Xenopus tropicalis: one gene and its partner. The protein of the gene in region 1 purifies or fractionates together with the protein of each later gene. This does not show direct contact. Links are inferred from orthologs where the notes say so. Each region holds a gene or a part of one and is shown on either strand. Other genes may lie near its edges.

Region 1 (7,594 bases):
TATGGACACTTAGATTGTAAGCTCTACGGGGCAGGGACCTCCTTCCTACTGTGTCTCATACCACATATATATATATATATATTTATTGTATTTATTTATTATATCACTTGTCCTCCCTGTGTGTAATTTTGTATTCTGTAAGATTGTACAGCGCTGCATACCCTTGTGGCGCTTTATAAATAAAGTTATACATACATATACATACACATGGATGGTGATAACTATATACATAAGTATATATGAAGACTAGGCTCTGTGTGACATTCTTGACATTATATATATATATATATATATATATATTAAATAACCTATTTTTTTTCCATGCCCCTCCCTCCCAGAAAGACAGAGTTTTATTACTTCTGCTCCTGGTTCGTCAGCCATTACTTACTGAAATAGCCAAGGATCCCATAGTAGAATGACCAATTATGATGTAGATGAGATCAGCATGGTCACATAGGGGTCCCTATAGAATATGAGGCACCAAAATGTGATCTAAATCAATGGCACTGGCCTATGACACCTACTGTAGTTCCACAAGTGACGCGCATGATGTATAATGTATGTGAAGTGCTGCAGAATATATCAGCACCATATAAAGAAAGGATAATAACAGCTGGGGTGTGGATAATTGCCTGTCCCTGTTGTAGTCTATAATATGGCTATTCATTTGCACACAAAGATCTTCCTTTAGCTATTTAAATGCACCGCCAGAGGAGAATATAATGTATTCACTTGGGTTTAGAGACCTCCTGAAGGAATCATTTGAATATTCCATTTCTATTTAAGGCACCAGGACAATTATTTACAGTAACCGTGCCACCATCAATACAAGGGAATAAAAACAAACACACACAAATGGCATTCCATTTTACTATATTTTTTATTTCAAACTTTTAAGTGCCACTATGAAAACCCAACAGTTCTAACCCAGTATGATCACAAAAAAACCCCAGAAAAAAAATAATGAAACCTACTCAACACAATAAGCCATCAAAGGAGGAGAAATATATGCATTATGAATCAGGGCCATTTCAGGGGCGGTAAATTACTTTAATACTGTACATCCATGATGAAACCAAAGAAAATTGCCAGGGTAATTATCACTGAGTGTGCAAATCCTTTTCCTTCTAGAAACATACAATGAGCAGTGTCTGAATGTGGCAACCTCTGCTTCATCCCAGGAATTATGTTCAACAATAAGAAAAGCTCTTTGCTTCCAATGAACAGAGAAGATACTCTTCCGAAATAATGTTATCTTCCCTTGTTATAGTGGTTTTGAGTTACGGCATATAAACATGTTAAGGTTTCTGGTACTGATTTTTCAATATTTGCTGGCTTGTTAAAGCAGAGCTGTTGTTAGTTCTTACTACTGAGTATTATTTTGACACTGATCATACCTAGATTAAATAATTATATCAACCCATGTATAGTTTTAAGGTGGGAAGTGATGTGTGGGTCAGCCCAAAACCTGCAACATCCACACAAGATTTGTAGGTTGTGAGTGGGTTCAGGCCAAGCTCTTTCTTCTGCCCTCCCTGCCTGTACTCTTATTACCCCTGCTTTCAACAGCCCTTACTTATAGGTGCACACATGCTCGGCCCCACCCTTTTTGTGACACCAGAGATGGGGCAGAATGGGTGTGGGTCTAGAGGTGGGTTGTCGAGTTTGGAGTGGTCATGTTAACTATTTTGTTGATAGGCACACTAACAGAGATGCATATTTCCTTTGCACCATGTCTCAGTACAGAAGAGTATGTACTCTCTTAAAGAGTTTGATAAATTTATTCTAATCTGTACGAACAACCCACAGTGCTGGTTTCAGTTCCTAATGGGTCGCCCGTATGGGGTATCTTTTTACTAGGAACTTGGCACAGCATGATATTAGTGATGTGTCTTCGATATTCTGCTGCCACCCTTCCAAATATTATAAGAATCCCCTATGTTTAGCAGGGATCATGTATGCCTCTGAAATCACATGACATGGGCAAGTATCTGGACCAGTAAAAATGCCCATAGAGCCAGCCCATTAATGGCATACAGCAAATCAATATAACTGGAAGGGAGTTTGTATCTGAGAGATTAACTTAGTGGCCACTTGGTTGTACTTAAAGGAAAAGTAGAATTGGTAACTGAAGATATGTGTCAACAAGGTAAGGCAATAATTCTATATTACAGAAAGAAAACAAACAGCATGGCTTTGTGAAAGAATAAAGGCTGCGGCACTCCAGATGTTTTGAATGCAAAAACCATTATTTTAATGATGGCTTTAATATTTTGGTGTCACTATAAGTACATATTTTTGCTGATACAAGCTACATGGACTTTGGCAACAGTGTACCCTGCACTGCATAATACTGAAATATTTCCCTCCTCTGTTGTAGATGGCAAATCCAGTGCTAGGAATTGTTAAAAGTGATGGTGGGCTTTAATGATCAATTTCCCTGATTCCTAAGCCTTGGATTCTTAGATTTTCATGCCCTGGGTAACATTTGCATGGCCCTGGAAAGTTAACTAAGTGCTGAGAGAGCCGGGCAATTCCAATATTTACTGCACGTCGGCTCTAAACGCAAACAGGTCTATCATTAACAAAAGGCAGCTGAAGATTCCAGCCCGGTGGAAGTTCAAAGAGTCCAAGAGAACCATGACTGTAACAGTACACTGAGAACTGTACTAAGATTGCAGTCTGTTGGCAATATCAGAGAAAAGCTGAAGGCTATAGTGTGAAAGATCAGCGGCCATGCTTGTGATCTCTACGCCTGAGCAAGCCGCTCCACTATCCGCCTGTATTCCTCCACCAGCTGCTGATAGCTCTCCTCTAACTGCTCATGCTGCGTGTTTAGATCGATCTGGTTCATCTGGTTGGTCAGCTCTTCTGGCCGGAGGCACTGTTTCATCTTAGCCATCTCTCTCTGATTTTTCTGTGTAAACAAAGTTAAACAGTACAAATAATTATTTACCAATATACACAAAGCCACAAATAAATCCCCAGTTCTTTGAAAGAGGTCAACTTTTTAATCTGTCCTCCTAAATCTGAATAGGGATCGGCCTGCTTAGTCTGATAGCTGCAAACATAGTGGACCAATACAGGACCGGATCTAGTGGGCACGCAAATAAAACCCCTTTGCCAATTATAACATGATTCGATCCGATTATCAGCAACAGGGATGTCAACCTGGATCTGAAGGGCCACCCCTGTTCTGCCCCAGCCCTGCCTACTACTGTGCTCCCTTTTTCATTGCTTCAGATGGATTATGGAGGACTTTGTCTGAATATTCTATGAAAAGTGCAAGTTAGGTTTTGGGTGTGTATTATCTCTAGCAGGTGACTGAACTCTTCCTGTGGGCGATCAAGTGAGCGGCGTTTAAATCAAGGTGACTCCCCAAAAAACTGAAATCCATCTGCAAAACTGTTATCTTTCTGCATCATTTTAAATCCTGGCAGGAGGGACTAAAACATTAATGATACAAATTTTAAAAACTTCTACACAGCTTACACACAGCATACAGGAACTACATAACCCACAATGCATTGCACTGTGATGTTCCTTTCCTTATTAACATCACGTGTGCAGGGAATTGTGGGATTAGGAGGATGCAGGCTGAAGGCAGGCTGAGGACAGTCGACTACTGTTACATTTTATTTGAGTCTTAAAGTAGTCAGCCAGATCAGCAGGGGAACAGGGGTTGCATTCTCCTGTGTTCGGCTCTTACATGCGCCTGTGTCAGTACAACCCCATAAAAATGAATGGGGTGTGGTTCTCCCAGAAACACTCCCCTGTATGACCCCCTAAAGGGGTTTTTCCCCTTAAAATAACTTTTAATATACTGTAGAGAGTGCTATTCTAACACAATTTGCAATTGGTCTTCATTTATATTATTTGTGTTTTTTAAATTATTTTGCTTCTTGTTCAACTCTCCAGTCTGGAATTTCCGCACCTATTTGTCTAAATTACCCTAGCAACCAGACATTGGTTTGAATGAGAGACTGGAATATGAATAGGAGAGGGACTAAATAGAATAATGAGTAATAAAAAGTCACAATAACAATAGTTTTTGGCTGATGTGGGTCAGTGACACCATTTGACAGCTGAGAAGAGTCAGAAGGCAGTTGCAAATAATTTAAAAACTATGCTAAATAAAAAATGAAGACCAACTGAAACATTACTAAGAATTGGCAACTCTATAACATACTAAAAGTTAACGTTATACATTTTGTTCTATTCAACAATAATCTACAAAAAATAAATCTTTGTTTTGCAAAAGGTGCCTTATATCACCAAGATTTACCCCATTACCCCCCCAGATCCTCTGCTGATATTCATTAGTACACAGACACAAACTTATGCTGAGTAAAATATAAGAATGCCAAGAACACATTCCCTAAATACATACACTCGGTACAGATGTGACAGGAAATGGGGCTGTTTCCTCTTAAAATTACATCACTTAATCACTTGTCAGACGACAGTATGGGAGAACAGGACTGTTTTTCTATGGGTTCCTGATTGCGCAGGCAGGGAAAACATCTCTGGAAACTATTTACTTGTTGTGGGATAGTTAAAAATAACACTTTTCTAAATGAGTGAAAAATAAAAATAAGTGTGACTGTTACATTTTCATGTCTACAAGACAACTATGCCAAAAACAAGCAGTTCAAAGGCCAATTAGCTGTTGTTTTTAGCTAAATGAAGGCAGTTTGTAACTGGGTATTGCCTCCAGTTCAGTGTTAATAGGATACTATTTGTGCAATACATATAAGAAGTGCCCTAGATGTGCAGTACTGCTATATGTAATGTTGAGTTTAATCACATGCACATATTGGGGGTTATGTAATAAAAAGCACTAAGTTTCCCTGGGTGCAGTAACCTATACCAACCAATCAACAGGTAGCATTTACTGGTCACCTGTTTCAAAGCAAAAATCTTATTGGTAGCTATGGGTTACAAACTTAGTGCCTTTTATTACATATGGGGAATTGTGCCTTATAAAGGGAATGGTCTGTGTGTGATCTCACCTTAGGTTACTAAATCTAAAGTATTTATTCTGTTTGATCCCTATGTTTTTATAAAGGAAAATAATAAAGGACTTTTATTTCAACCCACTACTTCCTGGAGAATACATATTAGGGAAAAAGATCAGGTAAGAGGATTACTTTTTGTAATGTACCAAACAAACAACAAAGCATAATATATCTTTTATACCATGTCAGTATTTTTATCAACTAGCAAGAGATCATTTTGTTTGATGATGAGACTAATCAAGCTTGCAGTGCATGGTACACTAAGAACAAGGGATTGCACCTATCAAAAAGCACAAAAGTTCAGGCATAAAAGATCTTGCCTTCTTGAGAAGATGAATGTAAGGCACTAGGCATTGCCCGTGGGGCTTTGTTCACATGATCGCTGGCCCTTAACAAACACTGATGCTTTTATTTGGTTTTGTACTATGCACTTGGGGGTGACCTTTGAAGCTAAGAAAGATGTTTACTCAACAGTCTGCTCTAATAAGAGTGATCGCTCTGCTTTGTATAATGTACAAAGCTTCTTCCTGCATAAAGAACAGGGAGAACTGCAGTGATAAAATAATAAACAGATGTAAGGGCTCTCACACAACTCAGTGGACCTTCCTATAACGAGAACCTCCTTAATCATTTGCTTCCAGGATTATGCTAAATATAGCATTTGTAATATTTTAAAGAATTTATGTCCATTTTTAAATAGATGTACTGGTAACCATACTTGTTTCGTTGATTAATGGGCTTTTTCCTTTCTTGCGGAGAAGATTAATGAGGGGTTGGTTACGCAGGGTATATATCTTATGTCTCCCACCATAGTGTTTGCATCTTCATCTCTGGAAATCTTACATGGCTGCTTAGAAAGCTGTGTACATGAAGCACTATTGACCAGGGTAGTACTGAGGTGTGTGAGGCCCACCAGGGCTGCTACCCCAGGGGCACCCACAACCCCTCAGGGGCCCCCTCTGTCCACCCACTCACCTACCACCAGCCCCTCTGTCTGCATTTGTACCTTATACTTTGCCGCAATTGGAGGAGGGAGGGCAAAGGGGAAGCAGCAGGGATGGGGTCGGTGGGGCCCAGTGCGTTTTCTCCCGATGTCCCAGTGTGACCCTGCTATTGACACTAATTCCCAGGCAGCTGGGCAGCTTGAGAATTCTTTGCGTCCCCACTAGTTACACTGCTACAAGGGACCAAGTCCACATCTGTACAGCATAGTCCCAGTGAAGCACATTAATCAAGTGCAAAAGTAAGGAAAAAGCACATTAATCTGCTAGAGGCATAAGGTTGCCAATTTATCCTCACCTGCTCATACAGATGTGTAGTGTCAGGACTATACGGGATCCAAAGCAGTCTGCTATATGCATATAAATAAACTGCTTATAGCCATCTGAGAACTTTATGTGGCTTGTTATAAATGTATTTACAATATAAATAAATAATATATGCTTATCTTTATAGTCAGGCCCTCTCCTATTCATATTCTAAAGCAAGCAACTGCCTGGTTGCCGGGATTTCATATAGCAAGAAGTGGCAAATAAAATGACTGTGGGGAAAGCATACTCTATTTGGCTTAAATAAATTGAGAAAACTCCTGGACACTGGATTTGCAACTCGTTACTACTATAGGGTGACTAAGGCAGGGTTGTCCAAATGGAGGCCTAAGAGCCGTATGTAGCCCTCTAAAGAATTTTTATGCCCCAGTCTGTTCAAAGGCTCCTTGGACTCTACTGTACGACATTATTTAAATGTAATCTGGCCCTCAAACATGCTGCATGCGAAATGATCATAACCATTACATGTAATAAATTTAACAGAACTGGTCTAAGGTGTACCTCTGGTGGTCCCTCTAATGTGCCCAGTCTTTGGACCTAAATTCCTTCCCACTACCTTGGATCTCCTTCCTTACCCAAAGAATGATATGATCACATACAGCAGGTCCACCTCTAAAGCCTTGTAGATGCTCTGCTCTTGTATAAGCTGTGTTGTCAAGAGATGCCAACTAGTAATCATGCCAAGAGAGAACTAAATAATTTTAATACCTTGTATGGCCCCACAAGTCTTTTTTTTACATCCAGTCTGTACGCTTTCGCTTTCTCAGAATCACTCATGTCTGTTGCTCGTAACCGAAGGATTTCATACACTCGCCTTGCATGTTTCTGAAAACAGAGGAATTTTTTTAATGATCTGCTTTTTGAAGGTATTCGTTAAACTGTTTTTCAACAATACATTGCTTGCATGCAAGTGCTCACTGCTGGTAAGGGTTGGGACCATACCTTGTTAATCTTGAGTTTTTCTTGAGCCTCTGTCACCATCTCTTGGCTGAATCCACACAAAAGTTTTTCAAGAGAAAAGCACGGAAGGTTTTGACAAAGCTTCACAAGAACAAAGTCTCTGAGGCGGACAAAGTTTTCTGACGGATCTTCAGCTGATAAAAGGAGAAGAAAAAGGTTTACAATTTTTTCCATGAAGGAACCGGATCTTAAGAGGTGGCCAACCTCTTGCTCAATTGATGCCGATAAGTAAAAAAGGAAAAAACACTTGCGATCACTCTAGCAATCTAGAATTAAGGTTTTAGTTAT
Region 2 (8,065 bases), on another chromosome or scaffold:
CCCAGAGTGTAACCATTAAAACTGGGGATGTTCTTGAAACCTTAACATTGCCCACCACAAACTGCACTGTGAGAACTGATCTTTAGGAGCCCTATCTGACTGCTTGCCCCAGTACTGCATTATTATACATGCACACATACATGGGAGCTTTTTTCTGACTACAATGGCATCTAATTATGTAGGAGCATTGGTTTTTCACATGAAATAAAAATGTAATTCATTCATTCATTCATTGTGCTCATTTTCACTGCTGGGCTCAATACTGGCCATTTGAGCTCTGACACCACAATTGTCAAAAATATATAAATGCATAACAGGGATGCACTGAATTCAAGGTGTCAACCAAAACCACAGCCATTTTTGCAGGATTCAGTTAGGTCGAAACCTTTAGAGAGCAGTGATCCCCAACCAGTAGCTCGTGAGCAACATGTTGCTCTCCAGTCCCTTGGATGTTGCTCCCAGTGGCCTCAAAGCAGATGTTTATTTTTGAATTCCTGGCTTTTGGCCAAGTTTTGGTTGCATAAATACCATATGTACTGCCAAACAGAGCCTCATGTAGGCTGCCAGTCCACACAGGGCCTACCAAATAGCCAATCAGAGCCCCTATTTGTAACCCCAGGAAGATGTTTCATGCTTGTGTTGCTCTCCAACTCTTTTTACATTTGAATGTGGCTCACAGGTAAAAAAGGTTGGGGAACCCTGCTTTAGAGCAATGTTTTAATATTTAGCTGTACAAGGAAAGGGACAAGCCCTTGCAAATGTTATTGTAGAAGTGCAACGTTTCAGGACAAAGAATGCCTTTCTCAACCCAATTTGCCTTGAAAAGTTGCACTTCCGCAATAACATTTGCAAGGGCTTGTCCTGCTATTTGCCAGCGCTCATTTCTTTCCTTGAGTTGAGGGGTGGTCGAGTGGAGGGTGCCGAGGGAGCCTCAAACTCTATCGCTGGAGAGCCAGGGGGGGTGCAAGTGACAAACTCTCCTATCATGTCAAAATGTATCTGACAGATTTTCAGCGGTTTTCAACTTACTTGTAAATGTAATTGCTATTGAAGCAGCAAGTGTCTCTTGATATTCTCAACCAATGTCAGACTGGGGTGTCAGGGGCCCACCAGGGCCCCCCACCTCAAGGCAGCTCCTACCCCCCTCGCATCAACCCTAACACATCTGCTCCCAATCCACAGATCCATATATATTTATAGATCCACGCCTTTCCAATCTCCGACATCACAGAGGGGTCAGAGCAGGCGCGTGCTCAAGGCAGTCTAAGAGCTCGCCCTGAACCCGTCTGCAACCCACTTCTGCTGTGCCAATGTCGGCCAGAACCTGTGGGTCCGAGCCAGCCTGCACATCACTTTGCAGAAGGTGTTGGCTTTTACAAGAGTTTCAATAGTCAGAACAAGGTACTGCCTTCAATAGCTATTACTTTTACAACTATTAAAAAGTTGCTTAGATGTATATTTTTTTTTTTATGAGGCAAAATTGTATTATATTATTTTTACAATCCCCATAAAGGGGTGGTTCACCTTTACTTTAACTTTTAATATGTTACAGAATGTCCTATTCCTAGCAACTTTGCAGTTCATCATCATCATCATTTATTTTGTATAGCTTTTGTATTCTTTGCTTTTCTATTCTACATCTTAAAAGCTTTCAAATGGGGTTCAATGAACTTGGGGCAGCCAACTATTGCTCTGAGGGCTCACAACTGATCTTATATATTTGTTACTTTTTATTCCTTAGCTTTCTATTGAACCCCTTTCCTTTTTATACTCCAGTCTCTCATTTAACCATTGCCTGGTTACTAAGGTAAACAAGTTGCTAGCAAACAGAGAGCTGCTGAAATTCTAAACTGGAGAGCATGTGAACCCAGCTAAATAACCAAAAACCACTGTGCAAATTGTCCCAGAATATCAATGTCTATGTCATACTAAAAGTTAGTTTAAAGGTGAACAACAACCTTTAATATATACCCACCCACTCAAACCTGCCCGATCGAGATCTAGCCAATTTCAGGCCCAATGTCGGTCGGTTAGGCCCGTTGTTCGTGCCCATACACAGGCAGATAAGCTGCCAAATCAGTGTAAAGGACAGATATCGGCAGCTAGAACAGGACCATGTATGGCCATCTTAAATCTCCCATGTTGGGAACATCTAAAAAGGCATGCTTGATGAGAATAACAGTCACTCACCATCTGGCAGGTCCTCTATGCATTCAAAAGTAATTTCAAATTGGAAAGGGTTGTGGAAGGGGCAGGGGTTATCCAGCACGACCATGTTGAGAATCTGTACTTTTGCCATGATGCCTCCCAAGCTGTAAATGCCAGCGATGTTATGTCACTAGGGCTAAAAGAGATGTAACACGTGTTTACAATCAAACAGGAAGAGAGAGACCTATAAAATCTGGTCATTAATTTTTTTGCAAGGGTTAAATAGGTTACTAGAAACAAATAGGAAATAAGTTTGAAAATCAGCAGTTCCTAAAGAAAAGCATTTCAAGAGCATATATCTTTAAGTGAAAAGGTATGGCAGTCTTTCTGTGAGAAACTGCATTCTGAATTGCATTTCTGGCACTTATTATACTCTGTACTTGCCCTTCTCTAACAGAAATACAAGAAGCCTATGTGTGTGTAAGGGTGAAGACACACTGAGCTACTAGTAGCAGCTATTTTTAATGGCAACTAAACTCCAGAAAATCCCCTGACATAGACAATACTGAGAATTGCCTCTGCTAACACACAGACTATCAGTAAATGATCAGCATTGTCTATTTTAGTAGCCACGACAAGTTGCTGCAACTAGTAGCTCTGTGTGTCTTCACCCTTACACTGCACAAACCCTTTCCTTAGCCTCTATTCCCCCCCATTCATCCTGATATCTGAAAGTCAATTAGAAATAAGCTCGGCTGTGCACCCCACAAATCAGTCGCTGGATTTCCCAGTTTGCTCAACAGGGGACTCCTCTCTATTCCGCTCAATATCCTCTTCACTCCTTGGAATCAGTCGCAGACACATTACAGTGAGATCCTGCCATGCATCGAGTCAATCATTTCTGCATTTAGACGAACACCGAATTTAAAATATGGGAAAAATTCAAACCACGTCACCTTCCATAAACTAAAAACACATGTCACACTTAGCTGCCCAAAGCTTTAAAGGCACACAACTAAGGGGTTGAATGAACACCTAGGGGTATATTTATCATGCTGTGTAAAGAGTGGAGTGAAACATTACCAGTGATGTTGCTCATAGCAGCCAATCAGATGTTTTGCTTTGGTTTTCTAACTGTTGAAATCTAATTGCTGATTGGTTGCCCTGGGCAACATCACCGGTAATGCTTCACTTCACTTTTTACACAGCATGATAAATATTCCCCCAAGTATTTAGCTGAATCCTGCAAAAGGTGCCTGGATTTGGCCAACTCCTGAACTGAGCGTTTCTCTAGTAGGAAGCAATGGCACGGGAAGTTTTAATGCTGCCCAATAGCCGTCTGTTTGCGCTGCCGGCAGTGCTGTTCCCACTGTTCTGTCAGGTTAACAGACAATTCTATGATGTCTCCTACTCAAGCCTTGTTATCATATTACAGCATGCATTACATGTTCAGATCCCCCCCATTACAAGGTAGAGTTACTGGTGTATGCATATTATAGCAACAAAGGGAAGCCCTGTGGGTACGATATACTGTGAAATGACCCCAATGACCAGCCACATTCAACTCGCTACAGGCAGTGGGACAGTTACTTCTTATAGCACATGTCTGAGGGCCAATGGGGCCTTTGGGAGGAGCGTGGGGGGCACATAGATCCCTTAAGGTGGCCATACACGCACCGATAATATCGTACGAAACCTCGTTTCGTATGATATTCAGTGCGTGTATGGTATGTCGGCGAGTCGACCGATATCGCAGGAAGCTGCTGATATCGGCCGACTCGCCGACCGGACCAGTTTGAAAATTTTATGGCGCCTGACCAAAATCTCCCTTCAGCTCTGAATCGGCAGAAGGAGGTAGAAATCCTATTGTTTCTACCTCCTTACCTGCCGATTCAGCCCTGAATAGTGTGTGGCGGATCTGACGATGTTTCGTGCGACCGATGGTTGAACGAAACATCGTCAGATCGCCACGTGTATGGCCAGCTTTAAGGTGGCCACACACGTGGCGATCTGCGATCTTTTGTGCAACCATCGGTCGCAGGAAAGATTGTCAGATCCGCCACTAACCTTCAGCGCTGAAACTGCAGGTAAGGAGGTAGAAACAATTGGATTTCTACCTCCTTCTGCTGATTCAGCGCCGAAGGGAGATTTTGGTCAGGCGCCTTCTATGGCCCCCGATCAAAATCTTCTGACGTTGCTGGTCGGCGAGTCGACAGATATCAGCAGCTTCCTGCGATACCGGTCGACTCGCCGACTTGCCATAAACGCACTGAATTTCGTACGAAACCAGGTTTCGTACGATGTTATTGGTGCGTCTATGGCCAGCTTTAGATCTGGCCCACGGGCCCCAACTTGGCTACTGCCAACATGAGCCCCAATACTAACAATGGGATCCCCTAAATATGCTACTCACATTCCAATGAAAGCAATGTTAACCGAAGTAGCAATTATTTCTATATAGGTGTCACACTGGGCTCAGACAGGACTTTCATCCAATAACCGGTTACAGGAGGAGGCTCACAATAATAATAGTAACAGGTTATTATAAGCACCAACACATACTGCAGAGCTGTACAAAGCCATAACTAAGTATCCCTATCAGTTAGTTATCCCTATCAGTTAGTTATCCCTATCAGTTAGTTATCCCTATCAGTTAGTTATCCCTATCAGTTAGTTATCCCTATCAGTTAGTTACCCCTATCAGTTAGTTACCCCTATCAGGCAGCCCCCAGGGCTGAACTACAACTCCCAGCAGCCACAGACACACAGAAGCTTAACAGAAATAAAGTGCAAGCCTTTATGCCAACTAGTGATACAATTTGTATGTTGAGCATTAAACTATTTTCGGATGTTGGCCAAGTGCAAGACTGAGGGCTCCCTATACAAGTATATTCCTATATAAGTTATAGGCACACATTAGCCACGCCCCTGTGAGTAAACACGTACAGGGAAATGGGGATTATGGACACACAGGTAGGGACTATTAGTTCAGCCTGTGGCCCCCGAGTTAATATTCTACAGAGACTTGTAGTTCACCAGCAAGGTGGGCATGGGGGGAGTAAGAGTGGGCTGACAGCCCGGAGTAGAAAGGAAACAGCACTCACCTGTTGTGGCGTCTCCTCCTTCCCCGGTATGCCCGGCTGTACCGCTCCGTCCCACACAACCGTCACAAACAGCCCGCTCCTTCTTTCCCGCCCTCCGTTTTGTCTCCCGCGCCTCGCTTACAACCTCACTCCAAACGCGCCCCCCAGCCCCGCCCCCTCTGAGCCGCAAGCCCCTCCCTCTCACCGTCAAGCAACAACCAATGACGCTTCTGGATAGTGTGAAACGCATAATCACCCCCTATCTATGCAAGCCTGTAAACAGGGGTATAATGGCTCTCCCCCACGTACAGCCGAGTCTGCCTTACCAAACCAGTACATTAAACGGATTCGCTTCCTACGTCTAAAAGCCGTTCGAAGTCGTTGCCAGCATTAAAGATGGCCGCTGATTCTACCAGCTTTGGTCACATGGTCGGGGCTTGTCAGTAGCTCTCACGTTTGATTGGAGCACGGTGTTTGCTTCCCGCGCCGTTTGACGTTCGTTCCCGCGTCGGGCATTATCTTCCGGCTTAGGCTGACGCAACTTCCGGATAGGCAGGTATTGCGCGGGAAGTAAGAATGCGTGGGGTAGGTAATGGGGCGCTGATAAATACCATGACGCACTTGTGAAGCTGGGGTGTAACGGAACCGGAAACAGACTAGGGGCGGCCGAGTAGGGTACTTACTGGTAAACATTTTCCTGCCATATATTTGTTTTGTTGCACTAAACCATTATTTACACCTTAAGCATTTTTTCTGGATAAAAAAAATACAGGCTTTCATTTATTTGTGTGCATATTCCCTATTAATAAGGTTGGCATCAAGCATCATTTTTACTGCTTAGGTGGCAACCTTGCTTCAGCAGTGTGGGCAGTATATGTATTTATACTGGGAACTGGCACTTATATTGAAGTGTCACCCACTGTGACCTACAGCACTTACATTTGCCTATTTGTGTCTGTAAGTTACCCCTCCCATATAGATTGTAAGCTCTACGGGGCAGGGACCTCCTTCCTCTTGTGTCCTCGACTCTTATCTTATTGCAACTGTATCTTGTATTTATCTGTATTTATTGTTATACTGTGTATTTATCTATTATCTTAATAACCCCCTGTTTGTATTAATGTATTCTACTGTACAGCACTGCGTACATAAGTAGCACTTTATAAAGATATACATACATACAGAAACAAAGGCTGCGCTATAAAGTTTTATATTTCTATCAGGCTTGTTTAACCCCCCCCCCCCCAGCCTCTGTAGGGAATTCTGGGAATTGCTGTGCAACAAAATGATAGAAGGAACGCAAGATGGCTGTTAGAGGCGGATGTAACCGCCTCAGCCTTTATAGGCGCTCACGCCATAATTCATCGTTTCTAATGCTGTGTGAGAGGGAAATGGCTCTGCTATGTCTAGTCAAGGATTAAAGGGGACCTGTCACCCTAAGAAATAAGTCCAAATTGTTTTCTATATTGTTAGTTGAGCAAAATAAACTGTACTTACTCTATATAAATAATATACATTTTGTTTCCTTCCGTCTTGGAATTTCTCAATCAAAGCAAGCAGGCAGGCGCCATTTTGTGGACCGTGTTATGAAGGCAAGCTTTGTATCACCCCAAAATCTTGTTTATGTGACTGACTGGGGGACCAGATGCCCATGCACTGGCTACACAGTTAGGTGAGGAGGAGGGAGGGGAGAAGTTAGATGTGCAGTGACATCTAGGTAGTGCTGAATGGAAAGCTAAAGTTATTGTCTGCACCACCTCTATGACTAAGGCATTTTATGCCCCCAACACCCTCAGAATATTGTAGCCTGAGCTGGACAAAGTGGTATTTCTCTGAAGCACTGTTTATAACATGGGCCAGTCTGTACTTGTGGATATTTGAGACACTGGCCCTGGAAGGATGTACACTGCGGAGCATGACATGGAAAGGGAAAAGCAAGAGAGGGAAGACAGGAGAGAATAACAAAAGGGGTTAAGGAAAGGTGCAGATAATAGCTTATGTGGGGTAGGGAAGAGAATGGCAGATAGAAAGAGGTTGGAAGATGGACACAAAGGATTGTGGAGTGAGGTGTAAGAGTAGGGTTAAAGTTACAGAAGGAAGGCAAGAAGGGATACAGTTGGACTGATAAATGTTCAGGGAATGGGATATGAGGTAAAAGACTAGGAAGGGGTGTGTTAATAATGGGAGAAGAAACATGGTATAGAGAAAAGGTAAAATTCTAGTACAACCTCAGGGCTTTATTTATATATCTTTGGATGTGATGGGCAGTGAACCCTTAAGGCAAGGACTAGCTATTTGACAAGTCAGGATAGGCAGAAGCAGGATGGAAAGGGTTAAAAGACCGAAACAGGCAAGAGCAAGGGGAACAAGAACTAGGGACAAGCTGTCAGAGGTCGATGCTCAGGCAAGAAAGTGAGGTCAAAGAAGGGTTCAAATAAGTCGGCTCTGACCAATAAAGCTGCTGGGTTGTGATGGAACAGCATGATGAAAACTTGAGAATAAATATGGATGAGATTAAATCAGAGATACAAGAACTCCCCAGCTGCTCTCCTGGCCTAATGGTTAAGGAGGATGGCTGCAAACCTATGGGTTCTTGTCCCATATCCTAGCCAGTCTTAATAATTATTTACTCCCTTGCTATGAAACACCTAAAGAATAATCTGCATCCAATTGCCTTTAGCAGCTACTTAATTGGCTGAAAAGTATACCCATGTTTAAAGTCTGGCATCCCATAATATTGCATATTGTTTTTTAACACTTTGTTAAAATATATATATATAAAAACAAACGTCATGATGGCCAAGGATGACAACAAGTCTGGAGGAGCAGAAAAA

What was found. Proteins that work in one complex are often made in the same cells at the same time.
Region 2: the proteins of hat1 (region 1) and asf1b purify together in Homo sapiens (affinity purification with mass spectrometry; 6 studies listed by BioGRID and IntAct, counting the BioPlex papers as one, with this or other methods). This does not show direct contact. The link is inferred for Xenopus tropicalis from reciprocal best matches to the Homo sapiens genes HAT1 and ASF1B.

The regions. Positions count from the first base shown.
Region 1 is NC_030685.2:67,564,996-67,572,589, forward strand, and holds the end of hat1 (histone acetyltransferase type B catalytic subunit), read right to left. Parts: intron 7,441-7,594; coding exon 7,289-7,440; intron 7,172-7,288; coding exon 7,055-7,171; intron 2,918-7,054; coding exon 2,750-2,917; 3' UTR 2,231-2,749; downstream 1-2,230. UniProt on the Homo sapiens protein: Histone acetyltransferase that plays a role in different biological processes including cell cycle progression, glucose metabolism, histone production or DNA damage repair. Coordinates histone production and acetylation via H4 promoter binding.
Region 2 is NC_030679.2:134,224,790-134,232,854, forward strand, and holds the start of asf1b (histone chaperone asf1b), read right to left. Parts: upstream 5,302-8,065; 5' UTR 5,253-5,301; intron 2,345-5,252; 5' UTR 2,300-2,344; coding exon 2,191-2,299; intron 1-2,190. UniProt on the Homo sapiens protein: Histone chaperone that facilitates histone deposition and histone exchange and removal during nucleosome assembly and disassembly. Cooperates with chromatin assembly factor 1 (CAF-1) to promote replication-dependent chromatin assembly.